Linked DNA regions of Canis lupus familiaris. The protein of the gene in region 1 interacts with the protein of each later gene in a biochemical or structural test. Links are inferred from orthologs where the notes say so. Each region holds a gene or a part of one and is shown on either strand. Other genes may lie near its edges. The genes, in order: AURKB, CENPA, CDCA8 and RACGAP1.

Evidence for each region.
Region 2: of the proteins of AURKB (region 1) and CENPA, one has a biochemical effect on the other in vitro, tested with the Homo sapiens proteins (3 studies listed by BioGRID). The link is inferred for Canis lupus familiaris from reciprocal best matches to the Homo sapiens genes AURKB and CENPA.
Region 3: the proteins of AURKB (region 1) and CDCA8 form a complex in vitro, tested with the Homo sapiens proteins (3 studies listed by BioGRID, with this or other methods). The link is inferred for Canis lupus familiaris from reciprocal best matches to the Homo sapiens genes AURKB and CDCA8.
Region 4: of the proteins of AURKB (region 1) and RACGAP1, one has a biochemical effect on the other in vitro, tested with the Homo sapiens proteins (2 studies listed by BioGRID and IntAct). The link is inferred for Canis lupus familiaris from reciprocal best matches to the Homo sapiens genes AURKB and RACGAP1.

The regions. Positions count from the first base shown.
Region 1 is NC_049226.1:33,232,160-33,236,472, forward strand, and holds the start of AURKB (aurora kinase B), read right to left. Parts: upstream 2,810-4,313; 5' UTR 2,631-2,809; exon of another isoform or gene 2,576-2,630; intron 2,343-2,575; 5' UTR 2,116-2,342; exon of another isoform or gene 2,061-2,115; intron 1,634-2,060; exon of another isoform or gene 1,562-1,633; intron 1,034-1,561; exon of another isoform or gene 962-1,033; intron 403-961; 5' UTR 86-402; coding exon of another isoform or gene 47-85; intron 1-46. UniProt on the Homo sapiens protein: Serine/threonine-protein kinase component of the chromosomal passenger complex (CPC), a complex that acts as a key regulator of mitosis.
Region 2 is NC_049238.1:20,875,755-20,879,848, reverse strand, and holds the start of CENPA (histone H3-like centromeric protein A), read right to left. Parts: upstream 2,831-4,094; 5' UTR 2,639-2,830; coding exon 2,554-2,638; intron 1-2,553. UniProt on the Homo sapiens protein: Histone H3-like nucleosomal protein that is specifically found in centromeric nucleosomes. Replaces conventional H3 in the nucleosome core of centromeric chromatin that serves as an assembly site for the inner kinetochore.
Region 3 is NC_049236.1:4,883,814-4,887,897, forward strand, and holds the start of CDCA8 (borealin), read right to left. Parts: upstream 2,857-4,084; 5' UTR 2,599-2,856; coding exon 2,502-2,598; intron 2,419-2,501; coding exon 2,290-2,418; intron 315-2,289; coding exon 274-314; intron 1-273. Other genes in the region: C15H1orf109 (uncharacterized protein C1orf109 homolog), read left to right, coding at 3,294-3,568.
Region 4 is NC_049248.1:41,947,134-41,950,693, forward strand, and holds part of RACGAP1 (rac GTPase-activating protein 1), read right to left. Parts: coding exon 3,446-3,560; intron 2,429-3,445; coding exon 2,292-2,428; intron 1,349-2,291; coding exon 1,279-1,348; intron 1-1,278.

The DNA.
Region 1 (4,313 bases):
AAGACAGAAAAAAATAATTCCCCATTTTTTATCTCCTAAAACGTACTCTGCTTAGGGTGGGCAGTGATGGGGAGCTGGGCTGCATGCTGCCCCCATCACATGCCTTCCGAGGCAGGGTTGCAGGAGCTCCTGGGTTGCTGTCGCCTTCCTAAGTCATCAGCAATCCCCAGTTGGAGCACGCACAGCTCAGCCGTGAGGGCGGACTCCCTGCTTCCGTCTTTGCACAGGTGACACAGTGACCACTCCAACAGAGTGGAGTGGCTGGAGCACCCGGACAGCCGCTGGGGAGCTGAGCAGACGCGGAAGGCGAGGCACAGTGTCCAGCCGGCGAGCAGGCGCGTGGTGCTGAGCCCGCCCAAATTCCTCTTCTGCAGCCCAGGCCTGGTCCCTCCAACGGAGGCCCTGTTAGGAAAGAGATGTCCAGGAAGAAATTTCCCCCTGGGAAGGAGAAGGCCTATGGAGTGGCTGGCCTGCATTCCTCTGCTCCCTTTGCCTCCACCAACAGACCAGAAGCAGCAAAATTGCACGGCTCCAGGCTTCTGGGACATTTAGGAAGTCTGAGGAACATCTGCATTTAATTAATTAATTGCTACTTATAATAATTATCAATTCTTGCCACACCCTTTCCAACAATGAATCTCTATTGCTCCAAGTACCTTTTCTGAACAAGAACTCGAGGCTGTTCCGTGAACAATTCGCGTTAGGATACCTAAAACATCTACGAGACTAAAGGTATCGCTATCCGCTGATTTGACAAAAACAGTGCAGATGCAACATTAATTCCTAAATTTGTATTTAGAATATTTAGAAAACGCATACATTTCGGGGGAAAAAAACAAAACCTTAGAGGTGCCGGAGTTAGTATTCTTTTGGTACAATGAAACGAATTTCAACCTCCTCTTCCTTTGCCGGAAAGGAAAATACCAAGGCAAATCGAGATAACGAAAATTGCAACCTTCCGTGACCCCGACGTGATTTGAACACGCAACCTTCTGATCTGGAGTCAGACGCGCTACCGTTGCGCCACGAGGCCCTCCCGCGTCCGCGGTCGCCCGGGTCTCGTGAACAGAACTATCGTCAGCAGCAGGGGGCGGAGCCAAAGCCTCAGCCCCGCCCCCCCGGGGGTTCAGCCCGCGTCACCTCCAGAGCCGTGCGCGGTCACCTGGGGATGGAACCTCGTCCTCGTGCGCAATCTATGCTTAGGGGCTCTTGGCGCATAGCCCAGCTCTTTAACCTCAGGACACACAGAGAAGCAGCTAGTGTGACTTATTTCCGGGGGTGACAAAGCCATCGCGGTGTCGCTGCAGCTCTGGTCCCTCCCCTAGAATCTTAAATGTAACCCCGGTTTTATCAGCGACTCAGAAAGCCTCTTTCACTAGGTCCTCGGAATCTTGCTTTGTCGTGTGCCGGCTGTGCGTGGTCAAGCGCTGTCCCTTCCGGGGTGACAGGGGTGTCTCGGGTCCCCTTGGGTCTCCCCGCCTGGCCCACACCCACCCACCGCTCCGCCTCGCGCCTGGGCACGCACTGAATCCTTGACGTGGGGAACAGGGACTTGCGGCGGGCGTTGGTGGTATAGTGGTGAGCATAGCTGCCTTCCAAGCAGTTGACCCGGGTTCGATTCCCGGCCAACGCAGCACTTTTTCCCCCTCCCCACAAACTTTTCAAAACCTCGCGCCGGGATGGCTTTTCCGCGGGGACCCTGTGGCCCAGTCACCGCCCGCGCAGGGGGCTGCACGCCCAGCGGAGCCCCGTGACGGCGCGCTTCTGTCCTCGCTCCGACCGCGTCTCTAAGCACATTCACTGAACGGAGGGGACCGAGGGCTCATTCGGCAGCACGATTCACATGCAAGTTGCTTGAATGCAAAACACAAACTCGAACTTTTAGAATATGAGCCCGAGCGCCAGGGGCAGCACCAGCTATCCTCTCTACTTTGTGCCTTCCCGTTCTCCCTTCTTTTTAAAGAAAATCTCCACCGCACGCCCTGGGACGCATACTTCACCGTGAATAGGATTTTATCGTAGGACGAGAAGAACGAAAGAAAGCAAAAGGCACACCGCTTCTCCCCGTCGGGGAATCGAACCCCGGTCTCCCGCGTGACAGGCGGGGATACTCACCACTATACTAACGAGGAGGGAGCTGAAGGAGGCGCTCTCCGGCTCGGAGATCTGGAGCTGTGGCCGCGATCGGCCGGGGCTTGCACCCTTCCTGCCGCTTGGGAAGAGACAGCCGGAGACCCCCCGCTCGCCCTGGACTGCCCCCAAGCCCACGGAGGCCGGGTCGTGGTGGGTCCCGGCCCGTTCCGCTCCCTGTCATCCGCAGCCCCGGCCCCCTGGGCCCGGACCTGCGCAGGAAGAAGGGGGCGGGAAGGCGAAGGGCTGGCCCGGGTCGGTGCGCTCTCCCCGTGCGCGCCCCCCGCGGGCAGGCCGGCCGGGCTGTGCGCTCGGAGCAAAAGAGCTCCCGGCGAACCTGCTCCAGGCTCTGGCCGGTTGCGCGGGGTCTGCGGGGAGGCCTGCGCGCGGCGCCGGTCCCTTCCCCAGCGCCTCCGGGCGTCCCGGTCTCCGCCAAAACCAAATGGGGCTCGTCCGGGATTTGAACCCGGGACCTCTCGCACCCGAAGCGAGAATCATACCCCTAGACCAACGAGCCGACGTGAGAGAACGCTCGCGGACGCCTTTAGAGGTCGTAGCAGGCCCGATGCGGTCCAGGGCCACGGCTCTGGGTGGGGGCGGCCTGGCGAGCGCGCGGGGACCACCCGCCCCGACGCCGCCGACTCCCGAGCGGGCTCTGGGGATCTGCTCGGCCGCCCGCGCGCTCCGACTCCTCCCAGGAAATAACGTCGGGGAAGTAGGAGGGAGTGGTCTCGGCCTCCCGCGCTCCCCTCCCTCCCCGCGCAGCTCTCCGGGGCTACCTGCTCGCCGTGGTCACGGTCTCCGTCACCTGGAGTCTCGACTCTAACGGGCCGCGCCCGCCGCCCTGGGACCCAGTGCGCTGGCGCAGAGGTGCCTGGTTGGGGACGATGAATGAGCCCTGAGCTGCCTAGGTGCACACCTGCGCCTCCATCCGCCCCTGCACCTGTCCACCCTCCTGGAGCGATGAGCAGCGCCAGGGCCCAGGCCAGGGAATAATTCCCGGGGCCGAGAAGACCCACGGAAGAGGAGTCGTTAACGAATGGGGGGCGGGGCGGGGCGGGGTCGGGGACAGGCGGGATCGGGGCACCGAGCCGGGTCTGGCCACCAGCACTGGTTGCAGGACTTCCCGCCAGTGCGATCAGGTTACCGCTATCTTCCCGACTCCCCTCCGCTCTCCCCTTACCTCCTAGGACGGCCAGGCAGGAGCCCCCCCCGCCGCCTAAGGCCCCCAGACGGTAGGGGGATCCGAGGCAAACGCCCGCACGAGTGTCTAAGGCCAGGTCTTAGGGCCTCGCAGAGGGTTCCGGGCTCCGGGAGCCTCTAAGCGCTTAACGCCCTCAAGCGTGCCCTCGCTCTGGGGCCACCCGGAGTCGCGGCGAGACACGGTGGCGCCCGGTGCCCGCCACCTGCGCTGCCTCCCCTCTGCTCGGTGCCTGCTCTGGGGAGTTCTCCCAGCAGGGTCTGAGCAGCCGCGGCCCTGCACCTCCTGGTAGCACCTCGGGGCTGAACCATTTTGTTCCACCTGCGGGTCGTCTGATTTGTAGGGCCAGGCCCTTCCTAATGCCCAACACACCGATACTTTGGTGGGGAGACATCACTGAAGGGTTCAACCCTTCGCTCTTTCTTTCCCGCGTGTCCCTGGGGCAGACAGCAGGGGAGGGCAGCAGGGGACAGCCCCTCCTTTCCTGTCCGTGTCCCAAGCCTTTTTGCGGGGCTCAAGCGCTGAGGGCTGGTGTTCCAGCATCTCCCTCTCCCTTTTGCAATTTGTGTCTCCTCTTAGGCCCCAGCGTTCCCCCCAAGTCTCTAGTTACTGCTCTCTTAGCTGCTCTCAAGCACCTGAGATCTGCCCAGAGGCGGAGCCCTACCTCCCTGATAGGATGGGATGAGCGCTGTGGCCCATGTCCCTAGAAACCCCGGGCGGTCTGAGAGAGTGCACAGATAGCCTGAGGCGCCATCCGTGGGCCCTACTTTCGGAATCCAAGAACTAAGGTATAAACTGATCACTGTTTAAGTTTGGTGTATTTTACACTTTCATGGGAGTCAAAGCTTTACGCGGAAATAGTTGTTTACTAGAACATATGGCAAATTTCCACCTGGTCTTCAAGACTCAGCTCACCTCTTCCAGGAGGCCTCCCCTGGCCACTCTCCACTCGAAGGTCCCTGAGATGTCCCTTCTCTGGGTT
Region 2 (4,094 bases), on another chromosome or scaffold:
GAATGAAAGGAGGAGGAGGACAGCAAGAAGTCCAACGTCAAGTTGTTGCGGGGAGGTGGCACAGGCAGTAAAGGACACTAGACTGGAACCGCAGTGTGTGACAAGGGGATAGAATGTTTCTAGCAGGAAGTGGCCCCCTGTGTCAAATGCTTCTCAGAGCAAGAAGAGGACATGGACAGGTCTATTGGATTTAGCAACATTAAAGTAGCTAGTGACCTTGACAAGAGTACTTCGAGTGCACTAGAAGGAGGGGAAGTAGTTGTGGGGAGCCAGACTAGATTCACCCAGGCTCCAGGGAAGCCTGGGAAGAGGGGAAACACACACGTGTGGTCTTAAGTCTGGCTGTTTAAAAAAAGGTAGCTATGAAGGGCACTAGAGAAATGGGGAGTATGAGAGACAGAGATGTGGGGACAAGAAGCACCCCTGCTCTTTGTCTCTGGATCAGAAAGAGCGGAGCACATTTGTGGAATGACAATGTAAAGAGCACGAACTGAATTCCAAGCGCAAGTGGAGAGGACAACAGAAAGCCCAGTGAAGGTGAGAGAAAAATAGGACCAAGAGCCCATGTAGGAGGAGTGAGTGGCTTTTGATAGGAAGGGAAGACCAGGGGTCTCTGCTGTGAGAAAATAAGGAGAATCCAGTCTGGGGGCTTCCTTAAGTGAAACAAGCACATGACAAGGTCATTATCAACTGAGAGTGAGTTGGGAAGCTGGAGTTGTAGGAATTTGAAGAAAAAGGTATGAATAGTCAATGGGGAGAATGGAAAAGCAAGACTGCCAGACAAGCACAGGAGGACTGCCAGGAAGTGCTGAGTGTCCATCTGAGATAAAACCTTTAATTTAACCAGGAATAGAAGGATGCTTCTACATTGAAGAGTAACAGCAATGGCGTACTTAACAATATTCATGTTAAAATTAGAAACAGGGGGGCAGCCACGGTGGCGCAGCGGTTTGGCACTGCCTGCAGCACAGGGTGTGATCCTGGAGACCCGGGATCGAGTCCCGCATTGGGCTCCTTGCATGGAGCCTGCTTCTCCCTCTGCCTGTGTCTCTGCCTCTGTGTGTGTGTCTCTCATGAGTAAATAAAAAAAAAAATCTAAAAAAAAAAAAAAAAATTAGAAACAGGGGTGGAGGGCAGCCCCTGTGGCGCAGCGGTTTAGCGCCGCCTGCAGCCTGGAGTGTGATCCTGGAGACCTAGATCGAGTCCCACGTCGGGCTCCCTGCATGGAGCCTGCTTCTCCCTCTGCCTGTGTCTCTGCTTCTCTCTCTCTCTCTCTGTGTCTCTATGAATAAATAAATAAAATCTTTAAAAAAAATTAAAAAAAAAAAAAAAGAAAGAAACAGGGGTTGAGGTCGCCTGGGTGGCTCAGTTGGTTAAGTGTGGGACTCCTGATCTCAGTTCAGGTCTTGATCTCAGGACTGAGAGTTCAAGCTTGACGTTGGGCTCCACACTAGGCATGGAGTTCACAATTAAAAAAGAAAGAAAAGAAATGGGCCAAGGGTGGCCAAACCACTTCTCTTATTTCAATACTAATCTCAGAGCTTCACTAATCCAACACACTAAGAAATAAAATATAGAAAAGTGAAAAAGATTCGAAAGTCCTTATTTGCAGACAATAGCCTATTTAACCATTTCAGTTGAAGCAATTGAACAATAAGTTAACAAGAGAATTCAGCAAGCTAGCTGGCTGGATGCAAAGGTTCTTAATCTTTAGGGAAGAAAATAACCCATAATACGCTTTTTTCCCACCCTGCTCATAACTACATTGCAGGAGACAAGTAAAGCAGTTGTTGCCAGAACAATTCTTGCTTGAGTGGGCCTCCCATCCACCAGACCACAGAGCGCAGAAACCGAAGACCACAAACTAGTCTTCTTTCCGGACCCATAAATAACCTCAGGAAGGGAACAAGGTGAGAGCGCTCTACTTGAGGCCCAACACCACCACTCACTGAAGAAACATACACACACCCCAACACCTGGAAAGGCAACTTCTGAAAGTAGAACTGTTTGAAATTGTCACAAAAAGCTGCCAATAATTCTGCAGTTAAAAAAAAAAAAAAAAAGAAAGCACAAACACTTAAAAAAAAAAAAATCCTGTCTGCTGGAGCAAGCTGTGTGACCTTAAGTTACTTGGTCTGCCTGCGCATCAGTTTTCTCATCTGAAAAATGGGCACAATGTAAAGTTGAGCTAAATCACCCAAGCAGCGGAACGCAATGCCTGGTAGGGGTTAGTACTCGATAAACGCTACTAGTAGTAAGACTTAGTATTAGGTGCCAGGCCGCCTGGGCCGTCCTTTCTGCTCCTCTAACTGCTTTCCCGGGTCCCTTGCGGGGCCTGGAACTTGGGCCGGGCCGAGCAGGTGCTGTAGGCGGCCCGGCTTTGCCCGCCAGCAGGGGAGCGCCGGCCGGAAGTCGGCAGATTCGGACCCGGGGTCCGCGCGCGAGCTCGGTCTTCTGGTCCGTGGAATGGGCACCTGGATGCGGCCGTGCCCACCTCACGGCCAGGGAGGCCAGGGAGGCCAGGGAGCGGGGAGGCCGGCTGCGGCCGGTTACCTAAGGAGGGGCCCCGCCGGGGGGCGCTGGGGGCCGGGCTCGCGGGGCGCCTCTTCGGGACTTCGGGCTTGCGGCGCGGGCCCATGGCGGGCGCCGGGCGTGGTGGCCCTGCGGCTCCTTCTCGGCCTTTGGGGTCCGGGGACCGAGGCTGGCGTCCTGCGGGAGCCCAGGACCAGGAGACTGCTCGGCCGGCCCCGGCGCCGCCTCGGTTCCAAGGACCCGCTCTGTCGATTACACTCGCGGCGTTTTTTAAAACCCGAATTCGGCAACTCTCAGTGGCTGCTTCTGGAACGACCCTGGCGCAGAGCGACTGCGCGGGGGACCAATGAGAGCACAGGCCGGAGGCCCGGCGCGCGCGGCGATTGGAGGAGAGAACGGGGACGTCGCGGACGGCGGTATGAACCAGCCAATGGGAACTTGGAGAAGTGAAAGGAGGCGGGAGCTTGCGGCCGTGCTGTTTCGAGGGCTCGGACGGTCGCCCTCGGTGCCTCGTGGTTGACAAAAGGAAGCACTGTCCTGAAGACGTCGGTGCGCTTGCAGAGCGCGTTCCTCAAGACAAATCACTGTTCGGACATTTTATGTTTTGTCCTATCAGCCCTGACGTGGCTTTTAAAGACGAGGAGACAGACTTACAGAGAATGTGGCCCTTCCAGGGACACCCCACGAATACGGCTCAGAAGCCAGTCTGACTGCATGAACGTTATCCATGACTAGGGTCGTGGCACGGCCAGGATCTGACGCTGTCGTCTGGGATCACACTCCCCAGCAGTGCAGTAGGAGCCCTGTAGGGAAACCACCCCTTCCCTTCCTGTTGGAGGTCACACACATTCCGGTCAAATGTACATCTGTGTAGTTAGAATAAAGATTTATTTTCTGCACTTGGTTCTCTTGCGTTTTCTAAATGTTCTCCAGTTAACGTGTATTGTAGTCAAGGAAGATGTCATTACAAAATCAGTGATTTCATGGAATCCTTCCTCACTGGTGCAACCAGAGTGGAAAACAGTATGTTGATCAGCCAAATACATTAAATGTAGAATTACCACACGACCCAGCAATTCTGCTTCTGGGTATACAAAGAACTAGAAGCAGGGACTTGAACCTATTTGTATTTGTACGCTAATGCTCACAGTGATGTTATTCACAACTGAGCCCCAAATGAATAAATAAAATGTGGTGCATACCAGGAATGAAATATTATTCAGCCTATTATTCAGAAAGTTAATTCTGACATGTTACAACAAGGAAAAACCTTGAAGGCATTGAGGTAGGTAACATACAAGACACAAAAGGAGAACTACTGTAGGATCCCACTTACATTAGGTGCATAGCCAAATTCACAGAAAGTACGGCGGTGGTTGTCAGGGGCTCAGGGGAAAGGGTTAGTGTTGCATGTTGAATGGCTATAGAGTTTGGGAAGATAAAAAAGTTCTGGGAATGGATGGTGGGACAACAATGTGAATGTATTTAATGCCACCGGACACTTAATAATGGTCAAGATGGTTTTCTGTTGTATTTTACAACTTTTAAAAAGAGGGAAAAAA
Region 3 (4,084 bases), on another chromosome or scaffold:
GAGGGACTTGGGCTTGAGGCTTCTGCTTTGCCTGAGAGGTCAGGGCAGAGAGTTGCAAAGAACCTGCCCAAAACAGAATGGCCTCCCTCTGTAGAACTTGACGGTATTTGAGCTTCATAGACTCAGCATTTGACAATCGTAATTTTCCAGTTGGCATAAACAGGATACGTCCCCTACAAAACCTCCTCCGTAGTAAGCACCCCCTGGTTGGATTTTGTGACAAGATTAAACTTAAAAACTAAGCACAGTTCCAAAATAGGACAGGTCACTTACTGTGGCTGCCTCTTCCAGGGCCTGTTTGTTTCCTCCAAGGGCTTTAAAAAGAACATTTTATTTAGTTACTAGCAGATCTTAATGATAAACCATCCTCCCTGATATATCCCATTATCTGCCTAAAAATGGGTCAGATTAAACCCTGGCTTCAACATTCAAGGATCTTTACAACCTCGTTTAATTTTTCTCCATATCTGACTGACCCCATTATGCATATTCTAGGTTCCACCACACTGGAAGTCCTTATTTCCCAAATGTGTCGCTGTCTCTCATGACTCCGTGCCTTGGCACGTACGTATTATTCCCTCTATCGGAAATGCTCCTCTGCGCCCAACAAGTTTCTAATTCGTCTTTCAAAACTCAGTTCCAATCCAAGGCTCTTTACTGTTCTATCACAACAGATCCCTGCGAAGTGCTGAGTTAGATGCTCAGCCTCATCATACCCAACAATTACTCAAAGCTGTGTAAATGTTCACCTGAATTCCTAGAAAACAATTTCGGGCGAAAATATGGCATGGGGTAGGTGTATAGCCAATGTGTGCTGAACAAAGAGGTCTGCACAAGATTTAGATGTAAAGTTAGGTTAATCCTTCTTCTAGAAACTCTCATAGAGTCCTGTAGAACTGTTAGAAATTCATGCTTTGAACCAGAATGCCTGGATTTAAATAAGTATACTTTGCTACTAACTAGCCTATGAGACGTTGAGCAAAGTAAACAACCTCTCTGTGCCTTAATTTTGTCATTTATAAAATAGGAGCAATATTAACAATGAACACTTTTGCTATGAAGATAAAATTAGTTAACTTACGTAGTACACTCAATACAATGCCTGCCCACCTAGCACGGGAAGCACTATATAAATGGACCTACCAACCACTACTCTACCCTTTTTCTGATACTTATAATTTTAGCTATATAATCATGTGTGCATTTTTATTTTTTTAAAAGATTTTATTTATTTATTCATGAGAGACACAAAGAAAGAGAGAAAGGCAGAGACACAGGGAGAGGGAGAAGCAGGCTCCATGCAGGGAGCCCGATGTGGGACTCAATCCCAGGTCTCCAGGATCAGGCCCTGGGCTGAAGGTGGTGCTAAACCACTGAGCCACCCGGGCTGCCCATGTGTGCATTTTTAAAACGATCCTCTTCTACTAACTTGTAAGCTCCTGAGGGTAGGGACAACGTCTGTTGTTATTTCCCAAAGCATTTTCACCCCTTAGCACTGGGACAGAGGCACGCTCCATGAGTATTTGTAGAAACGTGCAAGTCAAAAGGGTCATTAAGTAACCACAATTTGAACACAACGTGCTTTTCTATGCAGGACGGAACCTACATAATAGCTAATAATAAAGAAACGAGGAAAAGTAAGGGCACCCCAGAGCAGAAACGAGAGCCTGTCGCATGTCCTTGGGCATTTAACATGGGGGCCAGAGAACAGGCTGCAGTTTTCTGCTGGCCAGAAAAACTTGAGTCCTTGCGCTTCACAATCTGATTTGCCCTTTTTTTTTTTTTAACTGACGGTTTCCATGAGATGCAGAAAGTACGGCTTAGGGTTCTCCAACCATCTGAGCTCTGGTTAACGAACCAAGTTATTCAGGTATCCGTTTTTAAGCGACTGGATAAACTATCCAAAAAAAAAAAAAAAAGAGAGAGAGAGCGAGCAAGTGAGAGAGAGCGTTTTGTGACACAAAAAATGCACACAAATTTCACATTTCTGTGCGTCCCTAAGTAACGTTTTCCTGGAACACATACATGCACCTGTTCAATCCAGCAGTTTTGGGCCTAGAACAGCTTGAATTGAGTAGCTGCAAAGCTTCAAGAATTCAGTATGGGGTCCTTTAGAGGGGATGGATGCCTGCCTGCCTGCCTGCCTGCCTGCCTGCCTACCTGCGGGGCAGATGACGTCAGAGTCCTGTGCAGACAGGTGAAGCAGGGAAGTGCAATAAGCAGCGCAGGGGGGCGGGGGGCGGGGGTGATCACCGCCGGCCGAGGCCTGGGGACGCGAGCGGCTCTTACCGAAGTAGTCGAGCCAGTTCATCTCGCGCAGCGCCTTGGGGAGCCGCAGGATCTCGATGTTGTACAGGTTGTCCATCTCCTTGAGGAGGTTCTGTGTGTCCGACTGGATCTGCTTGGACCGTATTTGCACTGCGGGCAGGGCACACGGGCGGGTGAACCGGGGCCCGGGGCCCCGCACCCCACCCCGCCCGCACCCCGGCTGCGCCCCCTACCTTCCCGGTCGAAGTCCCGAAGAAAGGAGGCGAGCTTCCGGCTCCGCAAGGAGCTGGTCTTGGCCACCCGACTGCCGCCCTTCCTAGCCGGAGCCATGGCGCTTGGGTGGAGGCTGCGGGCGCCCCCGGGGCGTGGGGGGGGGGGGCGGTCAGCGGCCGAGGTCGCGGGAGAGGCCGGGCGGGCGCCCTAAGGGGCGAGCGGGGGGCACAGGCTGCCCCGGGGAGGCCCGAGCTTAAACGAGGCGCGGGGCACGTACATGCGGGTCGCCGAAAGCGTCCAAGAGAACCCCCGCCTCCGCAGCCGCAAGGACGGAGCAGCTCCTTGCAGAACCCGACGTGCAGCCGCCGCCGCCGAATTCAAACCGCCACCGGCTGACGAATCAGAAGTCGCCGTCTTGGGAGGCTCCCGCAACATCCAATCACAAGGACGCTCCGCCCGTAGGACTACAGCCCCCAGAAGGCATCGCGCGTTGCGACCTCCGTTTGCGCCGCGGCGGCCGCGCTGGAGCATGCGCGGAGAGGCGGCGAGGGAGCGCCGGGCGTGGGTGCCCCGGTGGGCGCCCCCGCTTAGCCGCCGCGGGCTTCCAGGGCTCCCGCCGGTTCGGGGAAGGCGACCGGAGCTGCCAGGGGAGGAGACAGAACTCGGGCTCAAGGCCCGGGTTTCGGGACAGCGCTGCGACCTGAAAGCGGGGCCGCCCCCGGGTCGGAGGGGGTACACGGCGCTTGCGCACGGGAACCCTCGCACCTGGGCCGCCTGGCGCTGCCCGCCGGCCTGGGCTTGTCCGGCAGGTGATGGCGCAGGACCAGCCTCTGCTCGCCGTGCGGGAGGCCCTGAGGGGCTGCTTCCCCGCCGTGCAGGAGCAGCAGCGCCGCTGGCGGGGCGCGCTCGGGGACTGCCAGCCCCTGCTGGCCGCGCTCGGCAGCCTGGCGGAGCAGCTGCAGGCGGCTCAGGTCGCGCGGCTGGACGACGCGCCCCCGCTTCGGGCCTTCCCGGGCCTGCGGGAGCGGCTGCGGCGCAAGCAGCTGGAGGCTGGCGACGACGTGTTGGACAAGCTAGGGGAGACGCTGTAAGAAGAGCTCCGCGCGGGAGGGTGGAGACGCGGGGGCTCCCTAAGCAGCTAGGATCAGTCGGAGAGGGGGTTTCCCCTTCCCTGGAAGGGAAGGAGGTGTCGCAGCCTCGCCTCTTCTCCATTTGTTGCAATGGGATTTATTGATTGATTGATTGATTGATTGATTTTATGCATGGGACGCAGGCAGAGGGAGATGCAGGCTCCACGCAGGGAGCCCGACGTGGGACTCTATCCTGGGTCTCTAGGGTCACGCCCTGGGCTGCAGGCAGATGCTCACCCGCTGAGCCACCCGGGGGTTCCCCGCAATGGGACCTCTTGTCACAAAGTCGTTTTACAGGGGCACCTGGCTGGCGTGGTCAGTCGGGCTTTGGGCTCTGTGGTTTTGGCTCAGGTCGTGCTCTCAGGTGGTGAGGTCAAGCCCGGCGCTGGGGCTCTGCACTCAGTGTGCAGTCTGCCCTCCTTCCTTCCCTTCCTCCCTTCCTTCCTCCCTTCCCTTCCTTTCCTTCCTCCCTC
Region 4 (3,560 bases), on another chromosome or scaffold:
CAAATGGTAGCTTAGCTAAATGAAATCTAAACTCTCCAATTCCTGGTCAAGTAATTTAATTTAGCTACTGATTATCTGATTCAGTTTGGATTATAACAGATACACCATATTTGGTCTAGCTCCCAAATCAGTTATTAATAGGTTCTAGTTTTACTATATATCCCAAACCTATTCATATCATTCTATATTTCAAAAAGGTGATACCTACTATTTATATCTATAAAATGGCAATGATTTCCCCAAACACTGATTTGGGATGTAATGCTCCTAGCCCATTTAATAAGTAGTTGTCACTTGTTTCACACTATCAGAAAACCAACCAGGAATTACCTCCTGATTTACTGCTTTGTTTGCTAGCTTTCAGCCAGTAAAATAGGAAAGATACACAAACCAACAAACCACCAGTATCCTGAACATCAAAGATTGAAATATCAGAGATTACCTTTTATGCAGAAATCATTGTAAGTTAAGAAAAGGGTGCTGCCCCACAAAGGTAGGGTAACAAGAGTTCAGACCTATTAACCATTGTTGAACAAAGCATTAGAGTCCCTAGAAACTTTGCCATTTTTCTGGCTGAAGTTCCAAGGCACTGGTTTCCTTCTAAATTGTGAAGTATGACTAAGTTTTCTCAAGAACCGAACTAACTCTGAAATAAGTCACAAGTCTATTCTCTCCAAGAGCAGCAAATAAGCCCTGCCTGGGTAGAATCTTGCTAATTTTTTTTTTTTTTTTTTTTTTTTTTTTTTGCTAGCTGTGGATGTTTAATAAGCCAAGAAGATACAGTCAATTAGTACATGTAGCTCACAGATCCGTTAAATAAATTTAACCTCATGCCAAATCCTGAATTCTATATTCTCACTTTCAGAAACTAAATATATAAGCCAGTCTCTTATAGCTTATGTGGATTTTTATTTTAAAATGCTAGCTCAGGGGTGCCTGAGTGGTGCAGTTGGTTATGCGTCTGACTCCTGGTCTCGGCTCAGGCCATGATCTCAGGGTTGTGAGATTGAGCCCCGCTGCGTTGGGCTCTGCACTCAGTGTGGAATATGCTTAAAGACTCTCTCTCCCTCACCCCCACAGCTGTACACTCTTTCTCTCTCTCTCTCAAATAAATAAATAACCTTAAAATTAATAAAACAAAATGCTAGCTCAGTATCTATAACACATCAATTACTACAACAGTAATAAAGGAATATCAGAAGAGAGGACAGAAAGGAGATTCCCGAGGGAGCAGGGGTAAGAAAAATAGACAATTTTCAAAGATCAAACATTTATTACCAGCGATTCGTCAGTCTTGTCAAAACTGATATCGGATAAAATGGAACCAGATTCGTCAATAGTTGACAATCTAAATGAGTGAAACAAAACAGTATTAGATACAGAAGACTCTGGAAAGTAAAAATGCAAGAACACTCAGAACAAGTCACAGGGGTCAAGTAAAATCAGCAATTTCATAGCAGTGCCTTCCTATGGAGACAACTACAAGTTCAAAGCCTCGTTGTGCTGGTTTCTGTGGGAGAGTGTGTCTGTGCATGCACGAAGACACATGCAGCACACCTGTTTTTTTGGCAAAGACCTCGCAACATCAGTTGAAAGTTACAGTCAGGAGCATGGGTGCTACTCCTGCGGAACACGCTACTAAAAATTCATAGGCAGAAGAGTGAAGTTTAATCTGATCCCAATTGTGGTTGCTTTCTATAAGAAAGAGTATCACCCAGCATTAGCTTTTGAAGAAATTAAGCCCATATATCTTCTCAGTTATAAAGATTCCCCATAAAACAACCAGGCAACAAAATAAATAGCTCTAAGAGTGCTGACCTTTCCCTATGTATTGTATCGGGGGTGTTAAATTCAAAGCCTGGTTGAGACTATTTTAAATAGTGATGCAGTGAAACCAAAATTATTGTCTGGTCTGGGCTCAGAGGCCTTCTAAACCAGAAGAGCTACAAGAGCTCTCTGGAGAGTAAACATTCAAAGTACTGCTGAACTGCCACTTTCACCTTTAGGTTTCTGAGCAATGAGTGGAATTAGTTATTGATGTGCAATTTAGCACCAACATCAAAATTTTACCCATGGTGAAACAACATCCCAAGGAAAGATCAAAAACAAAATAAGATAAAAGGAAGTGGGAGGCCCTTGTGCCTTTATTTCCCACTCGCCCTTCCTCCAAAGTCTTTTTCTGCTTTATTCAGCACACATTCCAGAAGCAGTATATTTAAGAGTTCAGATAACAAGAACTTCCGACAGCTGCATTGCTCGTGATCAGATAACAACAGATGCAGTTTCCCCACCTTTTGTTCCCAGCATTGCCACTGGATGGTTGGCCTCTGTTGAGAAAAGCCAGAGCTGATTTTTGCTCCTCGCTTAGTTGAATGCTGCCAGATGTGTCACACATGAGCATCTCTCGAATCAGCTGAATCTGTCTTTCCTGCAGACCAAAGCAGAGTAAAACATCCTAACTAACCAGGGGAGAAAGCTTCACCTCAAATTTATGGGACGGGCAGACCAGAAGACATTAAAATACAGCATTATGCAAATGAGCCTTCAGGAAGCCTGCTACACCAATAGCATATTAATTCACATCAAGCCCAGATTGCGTCTCTGATTTCTGACTGGTAAAATGAACTCCATCTAGAATAGTGGGCTTTCTGCTACAAGACTTTTGGGTCAAGCTGCTAATTCAAGACAGTATTGCAAAATGAGAGTCCCAAAATAGATTTCACATAGCAAAAACAATTTAGTATCATTTTATCAGGACAATTATTGGCTTCCTCTATGGATCAAAGCAGCCACCCACCTTTCTAAATAGTGGAGCAAAATGCATTGAAATGGATACAAAGCTGTGACACACTGGAACCAGTCAATTTGAGCTTACTGAGGCATTTAACACTGTACCAAGATGGATTAGTGCCTCCTCATACAGGCTTTCCTTTGTACCATGACCCACCCTGGAACATCAAAATGATAGTGTTCTACCTTAGTCACATTGCTCAACTGGCAGATTACATCTAGCCCCTTCCCCTGAACCAAGGGCAGTAATGATGGAAAACCTTAGAGTTGTCTTGCCTGTATCAATAACAAAGTACTAGCTATTGACAAAAGGATGAGGATACTCTAGGTGGCATGAGACATCAACATCTTGTGACAGATCAACATGCTAGGAATCCCCTGCCTAATTTTAATTCTTTAAATTCTCATCTGAAATCTATGAAGTTATAGTTTCAAGTCTAAAAGAGAAAAAATATTTTAATTTCAGTCTATGAAGAACAGGATTCCTATGCTGCAATTTCAGCTCCAGTCAAGGCCAAGTTGTCAACGGATAGATTGCTTTTAGTTCTTTAATGTGGAAGAGGAAACTGAGTATAACTGGCAGATGGAAACATGACCAGATGATGCTGCCCCCTCCCCCCACTGCCATAGTTCTGGCATAGAGAACAATACACACCAGCTTTTCACAGTCAGCCTCAGCTCGCTGTCTCCGTTTGATCTCGACATCCACCTGATTGCGTGCATGCTTCAGCTTAACATCCAGAGCACTACGCTCAGTCTCTGCTTTCATC